Caenorhabditis elegans: one gene and its partner. The protein of the gene in region 2 interacts with the protein of the main gene of each other region in a pairwise test. Each region holds a gene or a part of one and is shown on either strand. Other genes may lie near its edges.

Evidence for each region. The genes of interacting proteins can lie anywhere in the genome.
Region 1: the proteins of F10E9.3 (region 2) and R02F11.1 interact in a two-hybrid assay, tested with the Caenorhabditis elegans proteins (one large-scale study listed by BioGRID).

The regions. Positions count from the first base shown.
Region 1 is NC_003283.11:4,796,941-4,804,537, forward strand, and holds R02F11.1 (CC domain-containing protein), read left to right. Parts: upstream 1-4,153; 5' UTR 4,154-4,207; coding exon 4,208-4,289; intron 4,290-4,333; coding exon 4,334-4,501; intron 4,502-5,189; coding exon 5,190-5,470; 3' UTR 5,471-5,744; downstream 5,745-7,597. Other genes in the region: R02F11.3 (Cation efflux protein cytoplasmic domain-containing protein), read right to left, coding at 5,980-6,141, 6,327-6,745, 7,112-7,499.
Region 2 is NC_003281.10:8,307,784-8,315,247, reverse strand, and holds F10E9.3 (uncharacterized protein), read right to left. Parts: upstream 4,242-7,464; 5' UTR 4,241-4,241; coding exon 3,880-4,240; intron 3,639-3,879; coding exon 3,021-3,638; intron 2,973-3,020; coding exon 2,863-2,972; 3' UTR 2,661-2,862; downstream 1-2,660. Other genes in the region: sas-4 (Spindle assembly abnormal protein 4), read left to right, coding at 384-672; F10E9.2 (uncharacterized protein), read right to left, coding at 962-1,177, 1,225-1,349, 1,394-1,672, 1,721-1,802, 1,857-1,904, 2,376-2,448, 2,492-2,529; F10E9.4 (uncharacterized protein), read right to left, coding at 5,573-5,681, 5,735-5,840, 5,883-5,998, 6,090-6,203, 6,355-6,698; F10E9.5 (uncharacterized protein), read right to left, coding at 6,839-7,041, 7,095-7,178, 7,235-7,429.

The sequences.
Region 1 (7,597 bases), on a different chromosome or scaffold from region 2:
GACATACTTGAATGATATCCTCTTTTTGTGTGCATCAGTGTGTGACTACTTGCCCATAAAGAACATTTATTTGGAGCTATTTTGAGATAAGAATTCACACTTTTACAAGAAATCATCTGAATTGTCATGGTAACAAATAGTGGTCTAGAAATATCTGTCAAAATAATTTCTCTCTTTTCCAGTAAATATTTATTCTGAAAAAAGGTTTCCAGGGCTTGCCACGTCAAGGAATACATTTCAGCTTAACACGGCTAAAATTTCAAATGAAACATAAGACAATAGGAAGTGAAATTTTGAAATAGGTCACTACAAAAAAACTCAGCGGCAGAAAAAGGTCTGTCTGGAATTTTTTTTTCCAGTGAATTTTTTTACAACTCCAGAGGCGCTTAAAATTGCTATACATAAAGTGGATTTTTGCAGACTTTTAAAGGTTTTATGAATTTCTAGCGGTAGTAAAACATACGGGAAGCTTTTTGGGGATAGATTTTTATTTCTGAATTTTTTAAATTATTTTTTCCCTTCTTTTTATATTTATTGAAAACACCTGGATATTTCATAGTTTGCAAAACAATTTAAAATAAAAATTATAATATATTATAAAAATTTAACTTTTCTAGCAGGGTTACAAAGATTAAGGCAGGATTACAAAAATGTGTCCAACTGGTAGTTAGAAAAAATTTTTTTCTAGATTTTTTCAAAAAAAATGTTCCAAAAACCTTTCAAAATGTGCTGTCCTTGTGCGCTGTTAAAATTATCAAAAATTTGCGCAAATCCACGTTAGAAGCAGTTTTAGGTGCCTATAGAAGAGATCTATAGATAGTGAAAAAACGTAACTAATTTTTTGGTTGACTTGGATGAAAAATTCTTTTTTTTTCGAAAGAAAAGTTCTTGAAAAACTTCCAAAATATGTTACCCTCTAATTAGACGCCAATAAATTATTGTTTTACTTGAACCAGTTTTAGGTGTCTATTAATTAGTGAAAAATTTCAATGAAAAAATATCATATCGACCTTTTTCTAGTTCAAAGTGCTCTTCTGTAGCTAAATTTTTCGCACTGACCAAATTAAAAATTTCTCTTTCAAATAATTTTTTCAGAAATGCGTTAAATGCATTCTATGTGACTAATGTTTTTTTTGAGGTTAAATATTGACTGATTGCTGGTTATCAAAACTTTAAAAATGTCTAACTAGCCGGTTGAAGTTATCGGGCTCAAAAAGTCCAAGACTCTAGTCTGCACACCGGCACTTGTTCTAACAAAAACCTTACAAAAAAATCGTGTAACTTATACAAATGAGCTTTTTCCTCATTTCCGTGGAAGAAAATTTCCGGATTCCCTTTTGTAATTTCTTTATGTGTACACTTTTCCCCGCATTCATCGAATCATAACCAAAATGTTTGCTGCGGCGGGCGGCAGCGTCGGTCAAAGAATGGCATTTCGGCGGCGGCAACGGAATCATCGGATCTCATGCAAAACACTCGGGTGAGGCTCATTCTTTCGCAGAAGTTGGCTGATGATGATGAGGATGATAATGATGATGATCCGTGTTTGCTCTGAACGACTGGGGAGACATGCGAGAGAGAGTCGCCCTTTAGAGAAGCAGGATCACTTGAGCACACATACAAAATTCCCGAGAGTTTATCACTGATAAATGGACGGGCGGGGGGAAAAGAGTGGACTGTCCGAAATTTGTGCGCAGAGAAACATTTATGTGCACTCTCTCTCTCTCTCTCTCTCTCTCTCTCTCAAAAGTTTGTATGCAGAGCTTGGTAGTACAAGCCTGTCGACACAATCGGAATGTTGAAATTTTTCGAAAAATCGAACAGTGATAAGGGATATAGGATAAGAGTGTAGGGAGAGGAGCGTGCTTCTACTATTTTGGGACAAAGTCGGAACTTCACTGCTCTCCAGATGTTCAATGTTTATCCAGGAACACTAAAAATAAAACTTGTTCGAGTGGGTAGAAAAGTTGAAGTTCCTGATAGACATATCGCAAATTACCTGAGGAAAGAAATCCTCCCAATTTCCAGGCAAAAAAAATCGTTTAAAATGTCCGAACTGCCATATTTTCCCTATTATACATACTTGTAGAGAAATAGTTTGAAATCGCAATTAAAAAAATGAAACTGTAGATTATCCTGTTTACCTGCGTGCCTACCAGGGGTGTGCGGCAAATTTACCGAATTTGCCGAATTTGCCGAGCACGGGAAATTTCAAAAAAGTAGATTTGCCAAATTTGCCGAGCTCGGCAAATTTCAAAATTTGTCGCACACGTCAAAAATTTGACAGTACAATTTTGACTAAAACTATTGATTTTTTCGCCAAAAAATTACAAAATTGAGTTATTTAGATGCATAAGCAAACATACTACACGGAACTTATTCGGAATCCAGGTGATTGTTCAGAATTCAGTAGTTTTGGTGCTCCAAAAAGCATCAATGAGTATTAATTTTTTGGAGTTTGTTGAGCACGGCTAATTTGCCGTAGGTAGGCACTTTGATGCCTCGGCGTCCCATATGCAGAACAAGCTCAAAACAGACACAACTCTGGAATATGTACGGCAATTAAAACTGAGCTTTTTCTGCGTATCTAAAGGTCAGACACAGCAGTCCAGCTCCAATTTAAGCCTTGTTCGAGCCGGGGACTGTGACCAATAGTCCAGTCGTGGATTGCTCTACTTCCCACTTAAGGCTGGATGGACCTAGTGGGAGGTAGGACTTGAACTGGTGACCTCTAGATTGCTGGCGGCCACCACTGGTTCATTGTGTCCGGACCTCGATCGCGATGTCTCCACTGAGACATTATGCGTACATCTTAAGTTGTTCGAAGACTCTCGCATGACTTCCATGTTTCTTGTTCCAATAATTCCCAGACGTCACAAAGCATATTCCACGTGTTTTTTTTAAACCGCGTTTGGACGAGTGTTGGGAAAAAAAGAGAGTTGTGCTCTCATAATGGAGGTGTATTATGTGCTCACTTTCTCTCTGAGAAGTTGCCTCTTCAAGGATGATGGCTTCCCGTCTCCGGCCGTGGTCTACACCACCCGCGTGTGTTGCATCCCAAAACCGGATACTCTTACCTGCCGGTCAGTTGGCCCGGCAGCTCTCGCTGTCTCTCTGACGCCACCGCTGCCACTCGAGTGCACCGAGTATAAAGAGCACAGTGCTCCGACACTTTAGAGTCAAATTTTCTTCCGATGGCAAATCGGCTACTCACACATCAGGAACAGATTTTGCTCTGTTCTCTGTTTTTAAGATTTTCTAGACACCGTAGTTTCCCTATTAGACATGCAACCCTTGCTCTATTTTGTTATATCTCTGTTCCCTTCGGTTCTATCAAAAAACTGTCATTAACTGACAAAACACGTGCAAAATATTTATCTACAGTTAGACAGTAAACGCCGCTTAAGTAGATCAATGAGTTTCATGTCCAATATGCTAAATACGGTAGGAATCATTTTTTCAACTATTCTAATTTTTCTTGTAGCATTAAAAAAACTATCAACTAACATCCTAACTACTATTTAAGTATCAAGCATTGCAAAAATTTAAAGAAGCAAAAGGCTCTTACTATTAGAAAGCTATATGTTTTCCATTGACCACAGACTCCGGGCTTTTCATAAAAACCTTAGCAATCCGAATATAATTGGAAAGTTTCTATATATGCTTCAACCGTGATAAGATAAGTTGAACGACATTTTGACAAGCGCGCGCTCACAATCTTTTGGTGTATGTGTGTGTGTGTGTGTGGGGTCACTCAAGTATTTGAACATCAATCGTCCACTTCATTTTACAAACACATAGACTGGACTGAGCCCGATGGGGGAAATGAGAGAGTTTCGTGCCGCGCGCAAAGAGCACGTCGCCGCGCGGAGGCGCCAGAGTCTAAGCTAACACAGAAAGTCGGAGGGAGACGAAAAAGAGAAGACGGTCAGTTAGTGTCCCCTCCCCTCTCTCCTCACTGTTACGTACAAATGACCATTTAGTCTTGCTGCTCCATCGGGCTTCTCCTTGAGAACAAATCTTCAGATTTATTTTTGAGTTACCTTACTCTACCTACTAATTTTACAGTTTTACTTACATATTACTCTTTATTATTTATCTGAATCTTTATTAGTTTCCTGATATAATATTATTATTATTATTAAAATTTCAGGCCAGCGCAGGGTCAGGTGTTCCTACTTGTCTTAAAACCTTCAAATAACTCATTATGAAGCAACTCGCCATCTCCTTCTGCATTATCCTCCCCCTCGCCTGCTTCTGGGTACTGAACGCAGAAGACGCGAAAGAAGGTATGTTGTCACTCACTCTTCAACTCCTAAAATCCGACTTTCAGCTCCAGAAATTCGTGAAGCCAACTCCACAGTATTCCGTCAGAAGAGGCAGTTTGGATGCCCATCCAATTGCTATTCCTCATGCAGTTCCTCGTCCCAGTGCCAGAGATATTCTGTCGCATCTGTCTGTGTCCAAGGATGCTGTTGCCCAGGAAACAATAACCTTGATAGTAAGTTTTTTTAATATGAAGGTTGTGTAGGAAGTTGAAAAATTGCTTTTTTTCATAAATCAGAGATGTTAAAGAAAACGTCGCAATTATTAAAAACTAGGAGCGGGGATAGCTCAGTCGGTAGTATTGATAATTAGCAATCTAGAGGTCACGAGTTCAAGTCCTGGCTTCCCTAGGTTCAGTGTACCCAGATCCGTTCATATCGCTTAAGTAACGCATCGTCCTTTAACCCTTTAGTAAGGAATATGAGATAAAAGTTGAATGCTGACACCTTTAAAATTTAGATCTCCCTTAGTTCAAACCTCAAACCTTATCAAAATCATATCAAGAGATATCAAGAATCCAGTCACCGTTCCAATTTCTCAAGTGTCCCCGCCGTTCCCTTCCGGTTCGAGCAAACACACACACTGATTACCTAATGATTGCTACAACTCCCGGGGAGACGCTGCTTAGTCCCTTTTGCGGTGATGGAGACACCTTCTTATACGGCTCAACATAAATACAAAATATTTGCGAAGTTTCGCGGGGTGTTTGCGTTTGCTCGGTGCGTGCTGCTGTGCTCTGTGTCTCACGAAGTCGGCGCGGTTTGGACAACACGCACGAACCTATCTTTTTCTATCTTTAGCTCGTATCAGAACGAGTTCAAATATGGGTGTGGAAAGTCGTCTAATTCCAACAAAAATTTCAGCCGCCTGCTCCGGAGGACCAGCCGTCGCCGCCTGCCTCGGAGGACTCTGCGGACAAGGATTCTTCTGCTCGAGCAACAACTACTGCTGCAGATGCCAATCCGGAAACAGCACGGGACCATGTGTAAACCAGGTCTGCCCAACCGGATTCATGTGCAACACCAACAACTACTGTTGCCCACTCGGATCCGGAGGAGTCCTCGGATCATGTGTCAACGGAGTCTGCCCAACTGGATACACCTGTGGAGCTGGAAACTTGTGCTATTTGAGCAGTGGAAAGTAAAAAAATGGAATTCAATTTTTCCCTTTTTTCATGCGACAAATTGCCCCCAGTCTTTCTATATTTTTATATATTTTTTTAATATATTGTACTTTCCTTCTCCGTTCTCTGACTCTCTGCTCCTTTTAAATTATTCTAATCTATTTGAAACGAATCGTTCCCACCACCAAGACAACAACATCAACAACAAACGAAATCCCAAAAAAATATTTGAATTGTTTTTAAATTTAATTTGTTTATTTATTATTTTATTTTAATTAATGAAATAAAAAAAGAAACATTTGACACTCTACGACGATATGTGAGAAAAAATATTATAGTTTGCAAATCAAAATTTTCAAAATTTCAAACAAAAAAAAGTATAGTTAATTATGCGAAAAAAAAACATTGAGAGATGCTGATGATTTCTGTCATGAAACCGGAAAAATATGAAATAAAACTTAAAGTAGGGGGGCACTGGGAAGAAGAAAAAAACAAAATCATAATGCAAATGTGCTCTAATAATAACTAATTCAAACAATTTTATGCTCGTCGTGAGGATGATGATCATAATCATAGTCTGTATGAACAAATGCACGTTCAACTTCCGGCAAGCTTTCGATGTTTGATTGGAGGGTCTCACTGATGTCATGGGATTCTTTGAGGATCATATTCTCGTCGAGCACAATGTGCACCTGGAAATATTACAGATTTTAGAGTAGCACAATAATTCAGTTGTAAGCTCAGCCTCTTCAGAAATGTGCGATACGGGCTTATGTTAGGCCTAGGTGTAGGTTTAGGCCTAGGCTTAGGCTTGGGCTTAGGCTCAGGCTTAGGTTCAGGCTTAGGCTTGAAGAATCCAGAGAAAAAATATTCTTACCTCAACTAAAAACTTGCTTCCAAAATGGTACACATAAACCGTATCAATATGTGAAATCCGAGCATCATGATCCAAGCAGACTTTGATGATCCTATTAATGAACTCTGGCTCTGCAGTTTTACCCGACAGCTTTGCCAAATGCTCCCGTCCAGTTTGCACCCAGGTATACAAAATGTACATAGAAACCACAATAGCACCGGCTGGGTCAAAGTAGTACGAGTACTTGGTGCCGAGCCAGGCACAGATCAGGGCGACCGTGTTGGAGATGCAATCGTTGCGATGGTCCATTGCGAGCACGTTGACCGATGGTTCCTTGTATCGTTTACAGAATAGGTAGAGGGACAGCTTGACGAGAACTGTTGACACCATGATGACTACAGAGGTGATGGTGACGTTGAGCTTGGGTTCTTCACCGATTCCTGGAAATTTTTAGGATTGTAACTTAAAATCCATTGCTGAGGGAGGGGAGCATAGATTGAAGGATCAGGGAAGGATCAGAGGTAGAGCTAGTACATCCTGTAGGAAAACTTTGAATTCACTTTTTTAAAAATTTTATAAGTTCATCACTTTGTGGGCGAATATATTGAAGATTTCCTCCAAAACTGAGAACCGCAAGACTAATCAGCTCAGTTTCCAACCAATCAGACAAAATGAGTTCGAAGACGCTGATTGGTTCGAAAATTAGAAGGGCTCCTAGGTTTGGAGCAATTTCAAACAATGTTTTTAATCAGAATTTCAGACTATTTTGAGTCTTTCCATGCAAAATTCAATTCAGCATTTCTTACCATAAAGATGGAATTGAATTCCATCATGAATTCCTCTCACCGACGCAATGATCAATTGAATCGACGCCATTCCCATGATCACACTGATCAAAATCAAGGACAATGGCTCCAACCTGGTCCTTCCTCTCGGATACAGATAAGGATCCCTTTTCTTGATCATTCTTTCTGAAAGTGAAATGACAAGTCCTGAAGTGATATCTACCACAGAATCAACCATCGATGAAATGATCGACATGGATCCTGAGAGAACGGATGCGACGACTTTTGCAATCATCAGAAGGAAGTTCACTGCTAATGTGATGTTGGCCATTCTCGCGGCCGTATTTGATTCGTCGTCTTTTTTCTCGTCAACTGATTTTTCTTCGGTGTCTGTGCGTTCCATTGGTTTCTGAAATATTTAGAGAAAATAGTTGTTTGTTTTAGTAAATTACAGACATTTGGATTAATTGTTTAGAAATTGACAATGTGTCGTTAGTTTAAAAAAAG
Region 2 (7,464 bases):
TTTAGAAAAAAGATAAATAAACCAAACTACAACAGTCTTTATAGGCGCACGTATTTTCACATTTAAAAATCTGTCCTTTAACGAAAAAATTGTAAAATTTGGCGCCTTCAAAGAGTACTGTAATTTCAAACTCAATTTGAAACAGAATTTTCATCGATTTTCCTTAGTTAGTTTTTCGATGAATTTTAATTTATTCATTAAAAAAACTCAAATAAGTATAACGATATTTTAGCAAATAATATATTTTCAAACAAAACATGTTTCTATAATTTTTGTCTAACCCAAAATTTAGGAATATGACCTCAATTCTTCAAAAAGTTAGTAAAACAGGTTTAAAACCCCGTTATAAATATTTTTGCCTCTGAAACCTATCAAATTTTCAGATACAATCCCGGTACACACACATATCGCGACAATCAATGTCGCTACGTTCTCGTCACTGATTACAACGATTTTGAGCTCGTTGAGCCAGAATTCCGTCTTCGTTGGTATCAGGGAGATCCGACTGGTCTCAACAATCAGTATATTCTCAAGATCATTGGACGACCTGAATGCAGCGAGAAAACATTGAGACTTGAAGTGAATCTTTCCACGTGTGAAGGTACATTGGAAACTGCAGAGATGATAGGCGATAAACGTCGGAAAACAACTTTGTTCCAGTGGAAAAAATGAGAAATTCCAACCCCTTTATTTTAACTTGTGGTTTGTATATCTATTCCATTGACATTATTTTTCACTCCTGAGTGCTCTAAAATTATAATTAATTCTACCTCCTGTAAAATCATATCAAATAATTCAATCATTTTTTACTATCTCAATTTTCACTTGCCCCCTCCCCCATTTCTTTCATATTGATCTTCATGGTTATTTTATTGACTGTTATAAACAATTTTAACTTTAAATGTTCTGCACAAAATTCGGGATTCAGATTGCAAAGATTTATTGGAACACTGGAGACATTTCAAGATGATCTCGGATCTTCTGCACGACTCGACGGACTCAAACTTTGAACATTTTCGTGTGAGATTTTCTTTTCTTTTTCCGCACTTTTCTTCTCTTTCTTCTCCTCACCACTTCCATCTTTCTTCTGATCATCTACATCCAGGAGCAGCATCTTGTGACGTGTAATCTTTAGATCACTGAGACGAGTTTTCGAATCGCCGACTTCAAGAGGAGCCTACAATCATCCTTATCTTTTTATATTCAGAATATCAAAAAACTAACCGGGTCACCTCGACCAGAAAACTCGCCTTCGCCTTCTTCACTCGATGATTTCTGAGTTCTCAGAGTAATCATATGGGTCTTACCGCTGACACCAAGAAGCGTGTAGAGTCGAGCCATCAGATCGTCTGAACGATATAATTGTTTAAAAATCTTAGATTCTTAAGCTTACGATAAGTGGCATCCGTTGGAAGGCTGACAACGACTGGCTTTGAAAGGTACAAAAAGTACCAAAGACGTTGATCCGGAACCTTCTTATGTCGACGAGTCCTTCCACTTTTTGATTTGTTCACAGATCCTTTCCGAGTAGCACGAGTACTTCCTCGAATCTTTCCACGTTCAGCTCCATTATTCGACAATTCTCCAGTATGCTCAGCAATTTGTTGCGGTGAGACTTCACGCGTAAAAGCATTTGACGGAGATGTCGAAGTGGCACAAGACGAGTGGTTTTCTGAAAGATTGAACTCTTTTTATCAGATTTCTGATCAATTTCTGTTACCTTTTGGCTGAAGTGGACTACACACCAGACAGTAGAAGTGCCCACAATCAAAACGATCCAAATTGTTTAACCCAATGATTAACTGGAATAATTGGTTTGATCTTTCAAAAACCTGCATTTTGTAAAACAATCTTACTTTCTTGCATGCATCACATTGTAATGAAAAATCCATTTCATCTCCGACCTGAAAAATATTAATTTTCAATATATCCAGATTTTAAAGTGAAAGCCGCCCAGAATTCATGCACAAATAAATATACCTCGCCACAGCAGGTTACTGTAGCTCGTGTAGATCTATGGACCGCTAAATATCTTTTTCCAATGAAGCGCCAAGATTTTTTTCAAATAAAAATATTATGCAATAGCGACCCAGAATTGACAAGTTACAGTATTTCGTTGTTCGCGCGGCGAGACACTGCCGCGTAAGTTGACGGAAATTCTCATTTTTATGTAGACGTCTACGTAATATAGCCACAGCTCCAGTAGGCTTAACTTATCGTAATCTTAACGTAAACACGAAGACCATTCAAGAATATCGCTAAATTAGAAAAGTTACCAGGACAATTTATTTCGCTGTAAAACCTACTCTGTGCGTTTAAGTTCGCGTTCCAGAAAACTGTCAATATTCGAAACCTTTAATTCAAACGAAACTCACATCATCTTCAGTTTTTTCATTTGCTGAAGAAGTTGATGAGAGGACTTGCTTGGATGAGGAATTCATTCCAGTACTGAACAAATTTCAATTATCAGTGTTGAATCAAAACGACTTACTGGATTTTAGAGAGACTCGCTTTTTTCTTTTGCGACATCACTAAAATCGATTCTTAATCGGATAAAATACAAAATGATTGAAAATTGGAACTTTTTTCTTTTTTCCTGTTCCTGTAGTTTTTGTTGTTGTTATCTACGCTTTCGATCTTAACAATAAGCATCCACGTTCTATTAAATATATCATTTATTTATTATAAATAATATTCTGACTTGAATCATGTTTTTGTTATTTTTCAATTCAATGATGCCATGGATAAAACAAGAAGGGACAATTATTGGAAACGAGGAATGAAGTAGATTTTAAAAACGGGGTCAATTTGGAGAGTCTGAGGAAAAGAGAAAAAAAAATGATATAGTGACGATCAATACATTTAATTAATATTATATCTTGTGATAAGGGAAAAGAGGTCTGATGAGAAATTAGTGTATTCATCCTTATCCCGAGATTGTAGAGTGTTGAGACCATTAATAATCATCGAACCTGGAAAATTAACAAATTATAATTTTTTATACAAATTAAATTACTAACCAAGAAGCATATTGTGATGGCTGGATGCTCTTGCAATATTTCCTATGCTTTCCTTTTGAGCATTAGCCAATTCCATAGCTTCTTGAATTGAATCTCCATTAGTTTCGTGATCCCCTCCAACCATCACTTGCATTCTGACTGGCGACTGATCACGGAGCATTGATTGCACATCTATTATACCATTGGACGATGAAGTTGATGTTCCAGAAGATGCAGATGAACCTGATCCTGGAGCTGGTGACACTGCGGAAGGCGGCACTTTTCGGAAGTTTTCACCGGCTCTCCCCCCATTGTAGGCTACCAGTGAAGATCTTTTCGGGTTCTTCCCATCTTTATCCTTATCGAAATGTCTTTTTCGGCTTTCAAGAAGTCTGGCAGGCCCGAGCGACGAATTTGACCCAACAACATTTATGCTTCCCGCAATATTACGAAGAGATCGAGGCATCGGCGGTGGGACCCCATACTTGCGAATCCCAACTGAAGGTGATCCGGAAGTAGACGCTGATGTACCAGGGGCTGATGAAAGATGACGAAGAGATGCAAAACGTGTTGTAGCAATTGGAGGTGTCTTTGAAGGTACAGGGCGAAGGTTTTTGTTCAGAAGAAGAGCCTTTGGAACTGAAAATTCAAATTTTAAAAAATGGGAGGTTGTCGATTATAAAATAGGGAAATTGCTATGTATCTGGGCATTTTCCAGAAAATTATATTAAACTTCAAAGTTAGTAACTAATAATGTACAATATTTCGATTAAAAAAATTAAATTTTTATACATTTACTTACTGGTAATGCAAAATAAAATTATCAAATTTTTCTCAAGATCGAATATTTCTTATAGAATACGATTTTTTTTCAACTCACTTGCCCCTCCACGATTGAGTCCAAGTGTATTTCTGGTTGATGAAGACTCCGATGGTGGACTATTCCGACGATTTTTGACAGTAGCATCATCTGCGGTGAAAAATTGAGATAATGCTTCAAGAATACTTTCATTCTTCGTTTTACTTCCATCAATATCATCTTCCTTTTGTGCATCTTCTTCTTTTCCATCTCCATCTGTATCATCATTCTCTCCACAACTGGCTTCTCTCTCTAAAATCGGTGGTGGACCATCATCATCTTCTTCTTGTATCGGTGCAACTTCTTTATCTTCTTCAATTTCTTTTTTGATTTCCTTTTCTTTTTTCGCGAGGCTTGAACCGCGCCGGGTTTTTGAAGCCATTCTGTAAAATAATTCATTATAAATACTATGTATTTTTGAACCAAAAAAGGAGAAAATACAAAAAAAAAATTTTCTCAACAAATAGAGCTGTAATAAAACAGAAATCGCGGATTTTTCAAATTTAAATTCATTAGATTATTTTTATGGACTTGTTAAATACTAAATTCAACTTGATTTCACATTCATCAAAACGTGGTAAATTTATATTTTTGCTCAACATGGTAACGAATTGAAGCGACCCTAACCAATTAATTTTCTTTTTTCATGGCTTATTGAAGAATTAACTATAAAAATGGTAAGATTCGATATTTAAAAATAGTATTTCTCAATTTTAAGATAGCTGAAAACGATAATAAATCGGAGTGCATAGTACAAAGATATTGATCAATTGGGCTAAAGATTATATCTATTCTCGAAATGGTATGAGAAAATTCACAAATCTGGGACAAATTTAAAACGCTGAAAACCTTATGAATCCAAGCAAACTTGAAACCAAGTGAAAAAAGAAACGAACAAACCGCGGCAACGATGCGGTAAATAGTGTTTGGGTGGTAGAGACATAGACTAAAGGCGGTGGCTGTTGGTTGTGTCTCGCAACGAATAAGAGTGGTACGGTAGAAAATTGGGGTTCTGTAGGTGCGTCCATGTATCGATTAAAACTGGTTGGAAAACAGGGAGAATTATGATTTTTAAGCATTTGATGAAACTGATAGATGGGAAGAAGAGTGATTGTTTCTATCAATTGTGATAAGTTGGATTTCAATGTTGAAGCATGAAATTTCTTATTTCTGACTGGCTATATGAAAATTTTACATGATTTGACGATATCGACTAGGAAACTAGAAACTTATAACTGAAAAGCTAAAATATTCTCCTGATATTAATACTTTAAAAAAAGTTCAGATTTCACACTAATAACTCATTCAAATTTCCATATTCGAGTGATCCAACAATTTTTTTAATTGGAGCTATTGAGATCAATATCCTAGGAAGTACATAGTCATAATAATATCAAAAATTGAATAAAGAACGAAAATCCTTGTCACAAAGTTTTGATTTCTACTTTTCTCTCAGTCTCTTCGTTTTCGGATAAAAATTGAAGAAAAGAGAGCCGTAGACGAATAACAAAAACGGCTGGCACAATGCCAAAGTATCTTTGAAGATTAAAAAACTGAAGCAACTATAGAAAAAATACGACAATAAATTTGATAGGTTCATAAAGATTAAAAATAAAGTCAGAACCAAAACAGAAAAAATAACAAAAAGGTAAAAAAGAGTACAAAAATCAACAAAAATTACTAGAACAAATAATGAATAACAATCAGAGACAGATTATTCTTCCATGTCTTCATCTTCATCTTCTTCTTCTTTTACTTTTTCCTTCACATCCGTTTCTTCATCGGCTTCATCTTCTACTTCTTCTTCTTCTTTTATTTCGGCTCTGAAAAATAAAATATTAGTTTTTAATAATAATAATCTTCAATGTGAACCCACTTTTCAATCATTTTCACATATTCTCCTTTCAAGTGACATAATGAACTTTTGATTCGGATTCCGCTGTATTTCACTAGAATCTTGTCATCAATTGCAACTTGATCTTCTGAAAATTTCTCCGTTTTCAAATAGTCTAATTTTCATTTACCTGAAGTCTTGTCATTCTGCTTAATGTGAATTGTGATCATATCCATGACAACACCGACCATAAGACCTTCTTGCACATATTTCACTTTTGCTTCGTATTGATCTCCGATTTTTGGGCTGGAAATTAATTCAAAACTATTGAAATTACGAGAATCATTTTTGATAGTCTAAAAATAAATGAATTCCCTATGAAAATTCAAAATCTTACATGAAAACAATTTGATTAATTGCAACATCGGTATGGAAAGCATATTGGTCGGAAATGACACGTGGCGCAGATGCAAGATCGACACTTCCAACGGCTACGACGATTCCTTTGTATCTGAAATCAAAAATAAATATTCGTTGTGAATTATAAAATCGTTATTCAGTTTTCAGCATTCATATCATTATACAAAAAAATGTTTTTCTTGAGAATAACGAATAAAAATTAAAAATTAACACTCTTTGTATATTTTAACTCATCAACTTACTCTTTTCTATACTTTCCGACAGTATTTTGAGCAATCCAATCACATGCTTCTTCCATTGCAGCTTTTCCAGACATGTGATAAGGTAAGGAGATATGACGTGGCATCACTTTTTGAACGAGTTGACCTCCTTTTCCCTTTCCGCGCATCTTTTTGATTAGTTTGAGTCCATCTTCATAATTCATGAAAAATTGTTCTTTGAAACTTTTCTTTGATGTTTTAATGTTTGCTCCAAGAGTTCTCAATCGATATTCTTTCTTCTCCTTTTTATCCTTTGGTGCTTCACTTTCTGTTTCCTGGACTTCTGTAGTTCCATCCTCGTTCTCGATAAACTTTTTCTTTCCCATTTTTACAATTCTGTAAAGATTGGTAAACATTTGATATGAAATAATTAACGAAACAGGTAAACATTTTCGGCTCGAAAACCAGTGCATAAAAACAAATACAGTAGACACGAAAAATGCTTTTAGCTTCATATAAAGAATAGTCAAAATCTGAATGGAATATTAGGCCAGAGCTGAGGATTTTGTGAATATTCGGATTCAAACTTCATTGCCAATGTACTTTCCATTGCTAGAATCTTTGTCGCTGATTCTCCGTAATCTTTTTTCGCTTTCTCTCTTTTTGCTATGAATTCGGCGCTGGCGTTTCGGTGATCCGTTGATTGCTCTATACGCCCACGTATACTAACTAAAAATGCCCATTAAAATTTATCAAACCGTTAAATAAACCAATTTTCTTACTTTTATCAACGTTAACGTATTCCTCTTGACTTTTTGAACTTGATTGCCCTTCTTTCCGTTTTTCTGCCGCTCTTTGTTCTTTTACTGAAATAAACAAAGTTATTTAAAACAAATATTCGTCTAATTCCGATTAAACTTACACTTTTGACGATGTTCTTGTGTTTTTGCAAAAAATGCTTTCATCTCTTCACTCATTTCTTCAATATCTGATTCTTCATTCTCAATTTCACTATATATTTCACACCGAGAAAGTCTTTCGATCACTTCCGGCTCTTCAGAGTCACTAAAACATTGTTCAGTCGAAAGATTATCTCTCTGGACCATTTGCATTTGAACTGAAAATATACAACATTTTAAGAACAGAAGCTAA